4 linked regions of the Saccharomyces cerevisiae S288C genome follow. The main gene of each other region encodes a partner of the protein of the gene in region 3 in a complex. Each region holds a gene or a part of one and is shown on either strand. Other genes may lie near its edges. The genes, in order: RPB10, RPC10, RPA49 and RPA12.

What was found.
Region 1: RPA49 (region 3) and RPB10 share a complex: the UniProt entries of both Saccharomyces cerevisiae proteins name them as parts of the RNA polymerase I (Pol I) complex.
Region 2: RPA49 (region 3) and RPC10 share a complex: the UniProt entries of both Saccharomyces cerevisiae proteins name them as parts of the RNA polymerase I (Pol I) complex.
Region 4: RPA49 (region 3) and RPA12 share a complex: the UniProt entries of both Saccharomyces cerevisiae proteins name them as parts of the RNA polymerase I (Pol I) complex.

What each region holds. Positions count from the first base shown.
Region 1 is NC_001147.6:736,726-739,092, reverse strand, and holds RPB10 (DNA-directed RNA polymerase core subunit RPB10), read right to left. Parts: upstream 774-2,367; coding exon 561-773; downstream 1-560. Other genes in the region: dynamin-related GTPase MGM1, read left to right, coding at 1-169; NPT1 (nicotinate phosphoribosyltransferase), read left to right, coding at 1,367-2,367. UniProt on the Saccharomyces cerevisiae protein: DNA-dependent RNA polymerases catalyze the transcription of DNA into RNA using the four ribonucleoside triphosphates as substrates.
Region 2 is NC_001140.6:385,680-388,003, reverse strand, and holds RPC10 (DNA-directed RNA polymerase core subunit RPC10), read right to left. Parts: upstream 772-2,324; coding exon 559-771; downstream 1-558. Other genes in the region: DCD1 (deoxycytidine monophosphate deaminase), read left to right, coding at 1-216; DSE2 (Dse2p), read right to left, coding at 1,517-2,324. UniProt on the Saccharomyces cerevisiae protein: DNA-dependent RNA polymerases catalyze the transcription of DNA into RNA using the four ribonucleoside triphosphates as substrates.
Region 3 is NC_001146.8:180,791-184,274, forward strand, and holds RPA49 (DNA-directed RNA polymerase I subunit RPA49), read right to left. Parts: upstream 1,819-3,484; coding exon 571-1,818; downstream 1-570. Other genes in the region: MPA43 (Mpa43p), read right to left, coding at 1-232; CRS1 (cysteine--tRNA ligase), read left to right, coding at 2,085-3,484. UniProt on the Saccharomyces cerevisiae protein: DNA-dependent RNA polymerases catalyze the transcription of DNA into RNA using the four ribonucleoside triphosphates as substrates. Component of RNA polymerase I (Pol I) which synthesizes ribosomal RNA precursors.
Region 4 is NC_001142.9:553,394-556,102, forward strand, and holds RPA12 (DNA-directed RNA polymerase I core subunit RPA12), read left to right. Parts: upstream 1-1,801; coding exon 1,802-2,179; downstream 2,180-2,709. Other genes in the region: NTA1 (amidase), read right to left, coding at 83-1,456; chaperonin-containing T-complex subunit CCT5, read left to right, coding at 2,521-2,709. UniProt on the Saccharomyces cerevisiae protein: DNA-dependent RNA polymerases catalyze the transcription of DNA into RNA using the four ribonucleoside triphosphates as substrates. Component of RNA polymerase I (Pol I) which synthesizes ribosomal RNA precursors.

The sequences.
Region 1 (2,367 bases), on a different chromosome or scaffold from region 3:
AACATTGTTGGGAGATGAACAAGTGGAAATGTTTGCTAAGGAAGATCCGAAGATTTCAAGGCATATTGAATTGCAAAAGAGAAAGGAGCTGTTAGAATTAGCCTTGGAGAAAATAGATTCAATCTTGGTTTTCAAGAAAAGCTACAAGGGCGTCTCCAAAAATTTATGATGTAAAATAAATAGTGTCATTAGAGAATTTGTAAATAGCATTTTTTACCGTTATATAATTACTAGGGTGTATTTTTCTGAAAAAATAAAGGCATACCCTTCATCTAAGCTCTTTCTTATAGTATACAAGTCTCTTATATCGCACGATGTAACATCTACATACTTCCTTTATCGTCTTGAAGAGTAAACAAAAGATATATATATATTATTTTCTATTATTTTGGAAGAGAATGGTATTCCTACAGTATGCAGAGACACATCTGGTTGTCGTGTAGTTCTTTTAGTGTGTGAGAATAAATGGTTATCGTTTCTATATTCATGACCGCTCTCATCTTTTTTTTTTCATCCATCAAGGAAAAGAAAAGTTCAAAAACAGCCATATTGAGGAACACTTAATCTCTTTTTTCTAATGGGTTGTATCTTAAAAACTTTTCAATAAGATCGACGTGGGTTAGAATCATTCTTCTACAGCAGTATCTTTTTAGACCTAATCTTGACAATGCAGTACCTTCATCCAACTCATCTTCTTGCAACAAGTTTAAGTAGCTTTCCCACTTGTCACCAACAACTTTACCGCATGAGAAACATCTGACTGGGACAATCATTTTGTATTATTATTTTGCTTATTGAGGTTTACGTTCTACACTCTACAGTTTGAATACACTTTAACTATCATCCCATTGTGATTTTATTCAATGTTTCTTTTTTTTTTTCTTATGAAATTTTTTTTACCAAATACAACGAGTGAGAAATTACTTTTCGTTCAACGTGATCTTTGTGTTCTCAATTGCTGACACTTCCAGTGTAGTAGCCATCGGAGTGCTGATAGTAGCTTATTTTGGGCTTAAAAACCTCAAGAATATGAAAAGATTTATCAGGTCTGCTTTTGCATATATGAACCCTTCATCTTACTTTTTTACGTTGTAAATTCGTCAAAATATCAACAAAAATGGCTGCTGCGCCTGGGTGAAAAATTCGTCAGATCCGTTCTTATAAGACTGGAAAAACTCGCAAATGAAAGAATTGTTGTCTTTGACTAACCAAAATGACGAGCCTTTCAACAGTTATCGAAACGTAAATTGGATCCCATCAGTTTTTTTGTTTCAATTCGTCACTGTAAGGAAACAAACGGTAGATAATATTTTAGAAGAAAGGTGGATTTAGCCTTTTGTACCTATTTTCGCCAAGCAAGATAACCATGTCAGAACCAGTGATAAAGTCTCTTTTGGACACAGACATGTACAAGATTACGATGCATGCTGCTGTCTTCACTAATTTTCCAGATGTTACAGTTACTTATAAATATACCAACAGGTCGTCCCAATTGACCTTCAATAAGGAAGCCATTAATTGGTTGAAAGAGCAATTTTCGTATTTGGGAAATTTGAGGTTCACAGAAGAGGAAATTGAATACTTAAAACAGGAAATCCCATATTTGCCATCGGCATATATTAAGTATATTAGCAGTTCTAATTACAAACTACACCCTGAAGAGCAGATTTCCTTCACTTCAGAAGAAATCGAGGGCAAGCCCACCCACTACAAATTGAAAATTTTAGTCAGTGGTAGTTGGAAGGATACTATCCTTTATGAGATCCCCTTACTGTCCCTAATATCAGAAGCGTATTTTAAATTTGTTGACATCGACTGGGACTACGAAAACCAATTAGAACAAGCTGAGAAGAAGGCGGAAACTTTGTTTGATAATGGTATTAGATTCAGTGAATTTGGTACAAGACGTCGTAGATCTCTGAAGGCTCAAGATCTAATTATGCAAGGAATCATGAAAGCTGTGAACGGTAACCCAGACAGAAACAAATCGCTATTATTAGGCACATCAAATATTTTATTTGCCAAGAAATATGGAGTCAAGCCAATCGGTACTGTGGCTCACGAGTGGGTTATGGGAGTCGCTTCTATTAGTGAAGATTATTTGCATGCCAATAAAAATGCAATGGATTGTTGGATCAATACTTTTGGTGCAAAAAATGCTGGTTTAGCATTAACGGATACTTTTGGAACTGATGACTTTTTAAAATCATTCCGTCCACCATATTCTGATGCTTACGTCGGTGTTAGACAAGATTCTGGAGACCCAGTTGAGTATACCAAAAAGATTTCCCACCATTACCATGACGTGTTGAAATTGCCTAAATTCTCGAAGATTATCTGTTATTCCGATTCTTTGAACGTCGAAAA
Region 2 (2,324 bases), on a different chromosome or scaffold from region 3:
GCTGGCAGGGATCGTGTAGGTCAAAATGCGACCTTATACTGTGATACTTGCCCTTGCTTAACATGTTCTGTAAAGATTGTTCAAACAGGCATCAGTGAAGTAGTTTATAGCCAAAGTTATAGAATGGACGAGGAAAGTTTCAAGGTCTTGAAGAATGCGGGAATAACCGTCCGGCAATTCAGCTTTACGGAAGAACCAAGAATTGTGATGATTTAATTCATAAGTTCCTTTTCAGTTCGAACTAATGTAACATATATATAAAATACTACATTTAAAAAAAATACAGTACATTGTACAAACTAAAATCACTATAAATAGCGAATACTTTTCTTATATACTATTATTATTATACATTTGTATACACCTTTTTTCATTAATATAATCTCTAAGTGATATACGTTTTCCCTTAAAAAAACATAAAGAATTTGCTGGAAGAAAAGTGCTGCATAAACTTAAATCAAGCACAAGTTTATATATTGCAAAAACCTTGGAAAACCTAGGTTCTTTATTTCGTATTATTCTGCCCCGGTAACCCATTATGGTTTTCAGTCTCTCCATTCATCTAGCTTCAAATTGAACCAATCTCTTAGTCCTAGCCTTCAACAGGATTCTATGACCACAGTCCTTACAACGGACTGCATCAGTTCTGGATAAAGATAATTTACTAGAACATTCAGCACAAATATACTTCAAAGTTGCCGTTCTAGCTTGAGAAGTACCTGCAGCTGCGGCGTCTAAATTTGTTGGAATCTGGAACCCTTCGCGAGACATTGTTATACTTGTGGACTTTTATTCTTGGGTACGTTCTTATTAAATGTTGGTAGAATAAGTCGATGATGTGGAATACTCTTCACTTTTCTGATTCTAAAATCTATTTTAGATGTTAAAGAAATGAAAAAAAAAAAAAAAAAAATTAAAATTCAGAAAAATCATATTCTACGACCGCAGCGTTATATAACGTTACATCGGTGAGGCTAATTGTAGCCTTACCTGGTAATGTACAATGTCGTGGTCATGAGACAAATGTCAAATAGGAAGATGCAATGGAGAACAAATTTGACACACATGATTGAATCATTAAATCTACGGCAATATTTTGTTCTTATTTAGTGTCTCTTTCTCCATATCACTGCTCATATCAGGAAAAACTGTAGATTCTGACAATGTACTCGCCGGAACATTTTGATATATATAGGTGATGTAATTTCCATATGAAAAATACTAAAGACTTGTGATGAATTCATGAAATGAGTGGGGAAGAATCAGTATCCTTAGTAAGAGGTAACTAATAAAATTAAGTTATAGTATACACATTGTATATAATAGTTGAAACTACAAAATGAAAAGATCATGAGAAAAAAACAAAATAAAGAAATTAGGAAACTTAGTCGTTATAACAACACGAGGAAAAATGAATAAATAATACTGTCTTTTTACTATTTTTAACAAAAAATAATGGAAAAAATACGCCTGAGAAAACAAATAGAAAAGAATGCACCACCATTATGCCTAAGCGCTAAATGGTAACCGTAGCATAAATTGTGTTTGTACTAGTTATAGTGGTGGCGGCATCAACGGATTGAGACGGGTTAGTTAAGTAGACAGTACTATAGTAGTCATCATCATCATAAAAAACGTAACAAGTGCCATCCGAGCTGGAGACGGATATCGATTGCGTAGAAGACGATTCTAATGGCATGGATGTCGTTGCTCTAGACGTTGTATCTACGCTAGAAGAGGGTACCAGTGTAGAGGTAGTTCTTGCTATAGTGGACCCTGTTTGGGATGACTCAACTGCGGAAGTGGAAGACGATGACGCCAAAGTTAGTTGAGAGTTTCCGCTTTTTGAGCTCGATGGTGCCAAGGTAATAATAGTGGCGAAAGAAGAAGAAGAAGAAGAAGAAGAAGTTAAGGAAAGAGGGGCAGATGATGATGATGTTGAAAATGATGAGGATGATGTTTCAGAAGATGAAGATGAAGAAAGTTGGGAAGAGAAAGGTGCAGTAGATGAAACAAAAGCAGAACTAGAAGTCAAACGAAAACCTGAAGACGCAGATGGTTCGGCTGTAGCGGAAGATGTACCTGACGATTCGATACTTTGAGATGATTCGATATCGTATGTAGAGCTAGAGGATGTTGAAGAACCAGATGAAATCGTTGGACTGATAGTGGAAACAGTAGAAGTAGAAACCAATGAGTTTGTTTGAGTAGCACTAACTTGTTCTGAAGCTGACACCGTTGAAACCTCTGTTATCTTTTCAGTAGTGGAAGAAACGACGGAATTAGCTAAAGTAATCGGATATACCCTTGTAGTAGTATATGAA
Region 3 (3,484 bases):
ACTTTACCTCATATTCTCTAATGTTCAGTTTCTGAAGACACTTTTGAAGGGCTTTAATTATTTCAGTTGATTTTTGCCAGAATTTCCATGACTTCTTTGAAGAATCCTGGTAGTATGGGACTGGTTCCTGCGCCATTTCTAACAGCGCATCATTGTAGTAATTATATACACCTATTCTAGCACTTGATGAACCTACATCAATTCCGATGCCAACTTGCAGACTGCTATTCATGATTTCACCTATATAACACGTTGGTTTCTCATTTAAAGTTACCTTTATTGAAAAAAATAAACTGATACATTTTTAAATTTCAGCTTACTAAGGTGCTAGAAAGCCGAACTACGCTATGAATTAATATTGAATTTATTGCGAAGTTTAAAATTATTGTAAAATATCTATTTGTACATATGTATCTTCTCAGAAAAAATAGCGTATATCTATGTAGTTATTTTTGTTTTTCTCTTCCTCTCATCAGGAGGACCGTCTTATATTTTGCTGCTTTATAGAACCATCTAGCAAAAAAAAAAACCAGAGCAAACCAAATGCTCAGTATATACCTCTAGGTAACTCTAACGTCTTGGACCTCTTCCTCTTCTTGTCATTTCAGGTAGCTTAAATGGAACTTTCATAGTGGCAATTTTATAAGAAGCTGCAGTACTTTTTGGAATGCCAAAAGCCTCAGCTTGAGCCACTGTGGCACCTTTGACAATAGCACCAAGTACCCTGAACAAACTGACAACTTTGGAAGGTTTCAAGTTCAATTCGTGTGCTAAGGGTGTGATTTCAACAATGAAGTTATCCAAATGCATTATGATTGCCAAGATGTAGCATAAGATTTTATCTTCATTTTGTGGGTCAATGAAATAGGAGCGATCCTTTGATCTTCCAAACTGTCCAGGCTTTATCACGGTAAATCTGCTTAAGATACCATCTACCAAGATTTCAGGAGGACTGTTCAACCTTTCTAACAACTTCGTCTTGTTATTCACGCGTCTATTTTCGTATACGCCCAGTAATAGTGATAAGTAGTATAGTAGCTGTAATTTGGTCATTTGTGAAGGTTGTGTCAAAGAGTCCAATTTCTTTGCCACATACTTGGAATTGTTTTGGTATGGGAACAATTCCAACTTCTTTTCCTTATCCGCTTCTTTCAGAATTGATGAAACGCGAATAAACTGTAATTCCTTCTTTGGTATTATACTTTCAATTGGGTAAATTTGTTCTACATCAGTGGCATCGATATTGGCTAATGGAGTAGGTCTATCGTTGGAAGTAATTTCATCCAATTGAGCCCGAGTTGGTAAATCCTTAGATGCAGTTCTCACGGAATCCACAATGTCAATAGCAGAATCAGTCAACTTATCAGAGTCAATACGGTTTCTTTCTAGATCTGCAATAGCTTTTTTAGCCTTTTTAGTACCAAACGCTTCACCCAACGCATTTCTCAAAGCAGATGGACGAGTATCACTCTTACTTTTTATTTTTGGACCCCTTAGATTCTTGCTTGACTTGGATACAACTTTGGAAACAAGTACGGGAGCCTTGTAGAGTTGAATACTTTTCTTTTCTGGATTAAATAGGCCCACAACATACTGGTTCGAAGCTTGGGAAGAAGAATCAGTATAACCTTCGTATTCTAGTCTCTCGTTTTCACCGTGTAATACGAATTCGTCCTTTTCAGACTTCTTTTTTTTGTATAAGTCGAACGTAGTGTCACTGGGAGCACGGAAGCCCTTGAAGAAACTTCCCACGGCAACAGAGGGTTGATCTTGAACACTTTCAATTTCGATTTCAGAAACAGACCTTTTCACGGACATTACTAGATAAAGTGCAAAAGGTTGATAACGACTGCAATAGTGGTAGCAACTTAAAAAGCCCTCCTAATATCATTAGTGTTCATGCAAGAATACTTACTATTAAAAATGAGATGGAAAATTTCAGCTCATCGCAATAAAAAATTTTCAGCGCGGGTGACCGCAAACATTTTTCATCGCGAAGAGTCAAAAGACATTATCAATTGAAAAGAACAGTATTGCTAATTGGCGTCGGTGATTAGGTGTCCGGTCAAGTTCTTATTCTATGCATGAATATCTTCATAAAAGCCCTGAGAAGATATACTATAATGTCTACGCCGAAGATTGTGCAGCCCAAATGGAAGGTTCCAACGCCACAAGCTAAAGAAACTGTGTTGAAGTTGTACAACAGTTTAACAAGATCTAAGGTTGAATTCATTCCGCAATCTGGCAATAGAGGTGTCACTTGGTACTCTTGCGGTCCTACTGTTTACGATGCCTCCCATATGGGTCATGCCAGAAACTATGTCTCTATTGATATCAATAGAAGAATTATTCAAGATTATTTTGGTTACGACGTGCAATTTGTGCAAAATGTTACTGATATCGACGATAAAATTATTTTGAGAGCTAGACAAAACTATTTATTTGACAATTTTGTCAAAGAAAATGATACCAAATTCAACGCCACTGTTGTTGACAAGGTCAAAACCGCACTTTTCCAATATATCAACAAAAATTTTACTATTCAAGGCAGCGAGATCAAAACTATCGAAGAATTTGAAACTTGGTTATCGAATGCTGATACTGAAACTTTAAAATTGGAGAATCCTAAATTCCCTATGCATGTCACCGCAGTTCAAAATGCTATTGAATCAATCACTAAGGGCGATTCCATGGACGCAGAAGTTGCCTTTGAAAAAGTCAAGGACGTTACGGTTCCTCTATTGGATAAAGAATTGGGCTCTACCATTAGCAATCCAGAGATTTTCCGCCAACTTCCAGCTTACTGGGAACAGAAATTCAATGATGACATGTTATCATTAAACGTGCTACCTCCCACCGTTACAACTCGTGTTTCTGAGTACGTTCCAGAAATTATTGACTTTGTTCAAAAAATTATTGATAATGGTTACGCATATGCCACTTCCGACGGTTCCGTGTACTTTGATACTTTAAAATTTGACAAATCCCCAAATCATGACTATGCTAAATGCCAGCCATGGAATAAGGGCCAGTTAGACTTAATTAATGATGGTGAAGGGTCCTTAAGCAACTTTGCTGATAACGGAAAAAAGTCGAATAATGATTTTGCTTTATGGAAGGCTTCCAAGGCAGGTGAACCTGAGTGGGAATCACCATGGGGTAAGGGTAGACCAGGATGGCATATTGAATGTTCTGTGATGGCCAGTGATATCCTAGGCTCTAACATCGATATTCATTCAGGTGGCATCGATTTGGCCTTTCCTCACCATGATAACGAATTGGCTCAATCCGAGGCTCGCTTCGACAATCAACAGTGGATCAACTATTTCTTACATACGGGCCATTTACATATTGAGGGTCAAAAAATGTCTAAATCCTTAAAGAATTTCATTACCATTCAAGAAGCTTTGAAAAAATTCTCACCGCGCCAATTAAGATTGGCTTTTGCCTCAGTACAATGGAACAATCAATTGGATTTCAAGGA
Region 4 (2,709 bases), on a different chromosome or scaffold from region 3:
GGCCCTTACGGCGACATTTCAATAACATAAATATGCGTGTAACCTTATTAATTTATAATGTCTAATTTATTATAATATTCCTTCACCTAAACACTTCAAATTGGACCTCACGCAATATAGCGCCTTCTAGACCCTTGCCCAAATTACCCAGCAACTCTACGCTTTCATTGAGAGAATCAAGCGAACTCTCATCATCATCCTGTGAACCTTTAGGTTTTTTACCGTTAAATTTATAAATGCCAGAACTTCCTGCAAAAATCGTGGTACCATCTTCAGTACCACATCTGTTAGCTAGCACCAAAATCGCATTCTTTCCTTGGAACTTCCAAGGCTGTCCAAGGGAGGTTCCCAAAAATGTCTTTTCCAGTACTGTATCCTTTATCACTTCCTCAGAATCCAATAAGTCTATTGTGTCCTCCTTGTGCTTTCCATCTTTATAATATTCATGATCTAGGGGCATTCTAGTTTTGCCCAAAATGCTTTCGATAAGAGATGAATTTTTAAACCAATTAATTCTGGATTTAAAGTACAAAAAAGGAAAAAATCGTAGAATCCAGTAGTTTACGTTTGACATATCTGGTTCATCCATATCCTTATATTCACTTGTACTGTCGTCAGAAGGCACTCTGGGCGTACGTTGCGAATCACCAATTTTAAGCTGGTAAATTCCTTGAGATCCTGCCAAAGGCAACCCTTGCTCCTTTAAAGCGAAAGCTATTTTGTTCTTAGCGGCTTCTAATAATGAATTGTTATGTAACGTCTGTTTGTCTGTGATAGAAGTAGAGTTTAACCACGCCATTGGACATAGAATCAATTCAACATTATTGTCAACGCAAAAAGAAGAGAATTCAAAGTGATTAAAGGGGGCCATGAATTTGTAGGGACTTAAGTCCATACAAATACCTATTGATGCTTTCAAAGTCACATCTCTGTTGTAAGAGTCCTCATTAGAAAGCTTAGCACACTTTGAAAAATCCATGGGAAACGTCTGAAATCCCTCTGGATTCTCCTCGCAATCCCAATTCATTTCTGTATCATAGAGAAAAGTCTTTCTGTAATTAAAGATCTGCTCCCCCTGCGGATTTACTACCAGGGCAGAATTGTATAGCTTCTGTTCATCATCATCTTCAGGATATCCTATTATAGTGTAGCATTGAAATTTCTCGGATATTGATTTAGCCAGTTCAAAAGAGGGCCCTTCATCTTTCTTAGTAACATAAGGTAAAATATCTTTTCTGGCATGAAAACTGTAACCTGTCAATGCAAATTCGGGGAATAGTATTATGTCTGGTTTCACATAGGTGGCACTTTTCGTAACTTTATCCAATATTGACCATGTTCTCTTAATTGTTTGATCTACTTGCCCAATTTGCGGATTGAGTTGAATTACTAGTACCTTTAGTGATACTAAAAGTTTTGTGCTCATCTTAGCACCATGAATTGCGTCTATTAGCATTCACTGAATGTCACGATAGAGTTATCGCTGTAAACTAGCACTTTTTAGCATTGAAATGCTTAAAATGTGTGAAACTAAAGTGGTTTTATTTCCAAAGAAGGGTTATCCCTTACTAGGGCAACGAATGAATATCTATTAGGGCTATAAAACAAAAATAGTTAAGTGAGATATATACCCTCTTGAATGGTGCAGGGTAAATAATTATATATCGTTACGAACGAAAGATGAAAAATATGAAAAAAAAAAAAATCAAATTTATGTCAAGTGAAGGGCATTGCATGGCAAGTGTAAAGAATCCAAGAAGAAAAGAAAGGCTTAAAGCAATCCAGGTTAGTACTTATAAGAATGTCTGTTGTAGGATCGTTAATTTTTTGCTTGGACTGTGGTGATCTCCTGGAAAATCCTAATGCCGTATTAGGCTCTAACGTTGAATGCAGCCAATGTAAAGCCATATATCCCAAGTCACAATTCTCCAATTTAAAAGTCGTCACCACGACGGCAGACGATGCGTTTCCATCTTCTCTTAGAGCCAAGAAATCCGTGGTTAAAACTTCTTTGAAGAAGAACGAACTGAAAGACGGCGCTACTATCAAGGAAAAGTGTCCTCAGTGTGGAAATGAAGAGATGAACTATCATACTTTACAGTTAAGATCTGCAGATGAAGGTGCTACTGTCTTCTATACATGCACTTCCTGTGGTTACAAGTTCCGTACCAACAATTGATTGGGTTGTGTTCGCACATATTACAATTTGTACATTAATATCATCCCCGCTTTCATCATGTGAACATCTATAGAACATCATTTATAAAAACAAAAAATCTATGTACTGACGATATAATAGCGTACATTATCATATTATTCTTACTATTTATCATACTCATCGCATCTACTGTTCTCGAGAACGTGTAAAGTGATTTATGCCATTGAATGAAAAATTTTGTTAAGGAACAACTAGAAATATAATAGTGTCTTGGTGGATGTGGCAAATGAGGTGTGCGTGATAAAGAGCTACAAACTCAAAGTAATAACAGCTATCATCCATTTTTATAGCAATATTTGAAAATGGCTGCTCGTCCACAACAACCTCCTATGGAAATGCCGGATCTGTCGAACGCCATTGTGGCACAAGACGAGATGGGTAGACCCTTTATTATCGTGAAGGATCAAGGTAACAAGAAGAGACAGCACGGATTAGAGGCCAAGAAATCACATATATTGGCTGCTAGATCAGTAGCTTCTATTATCAAAACT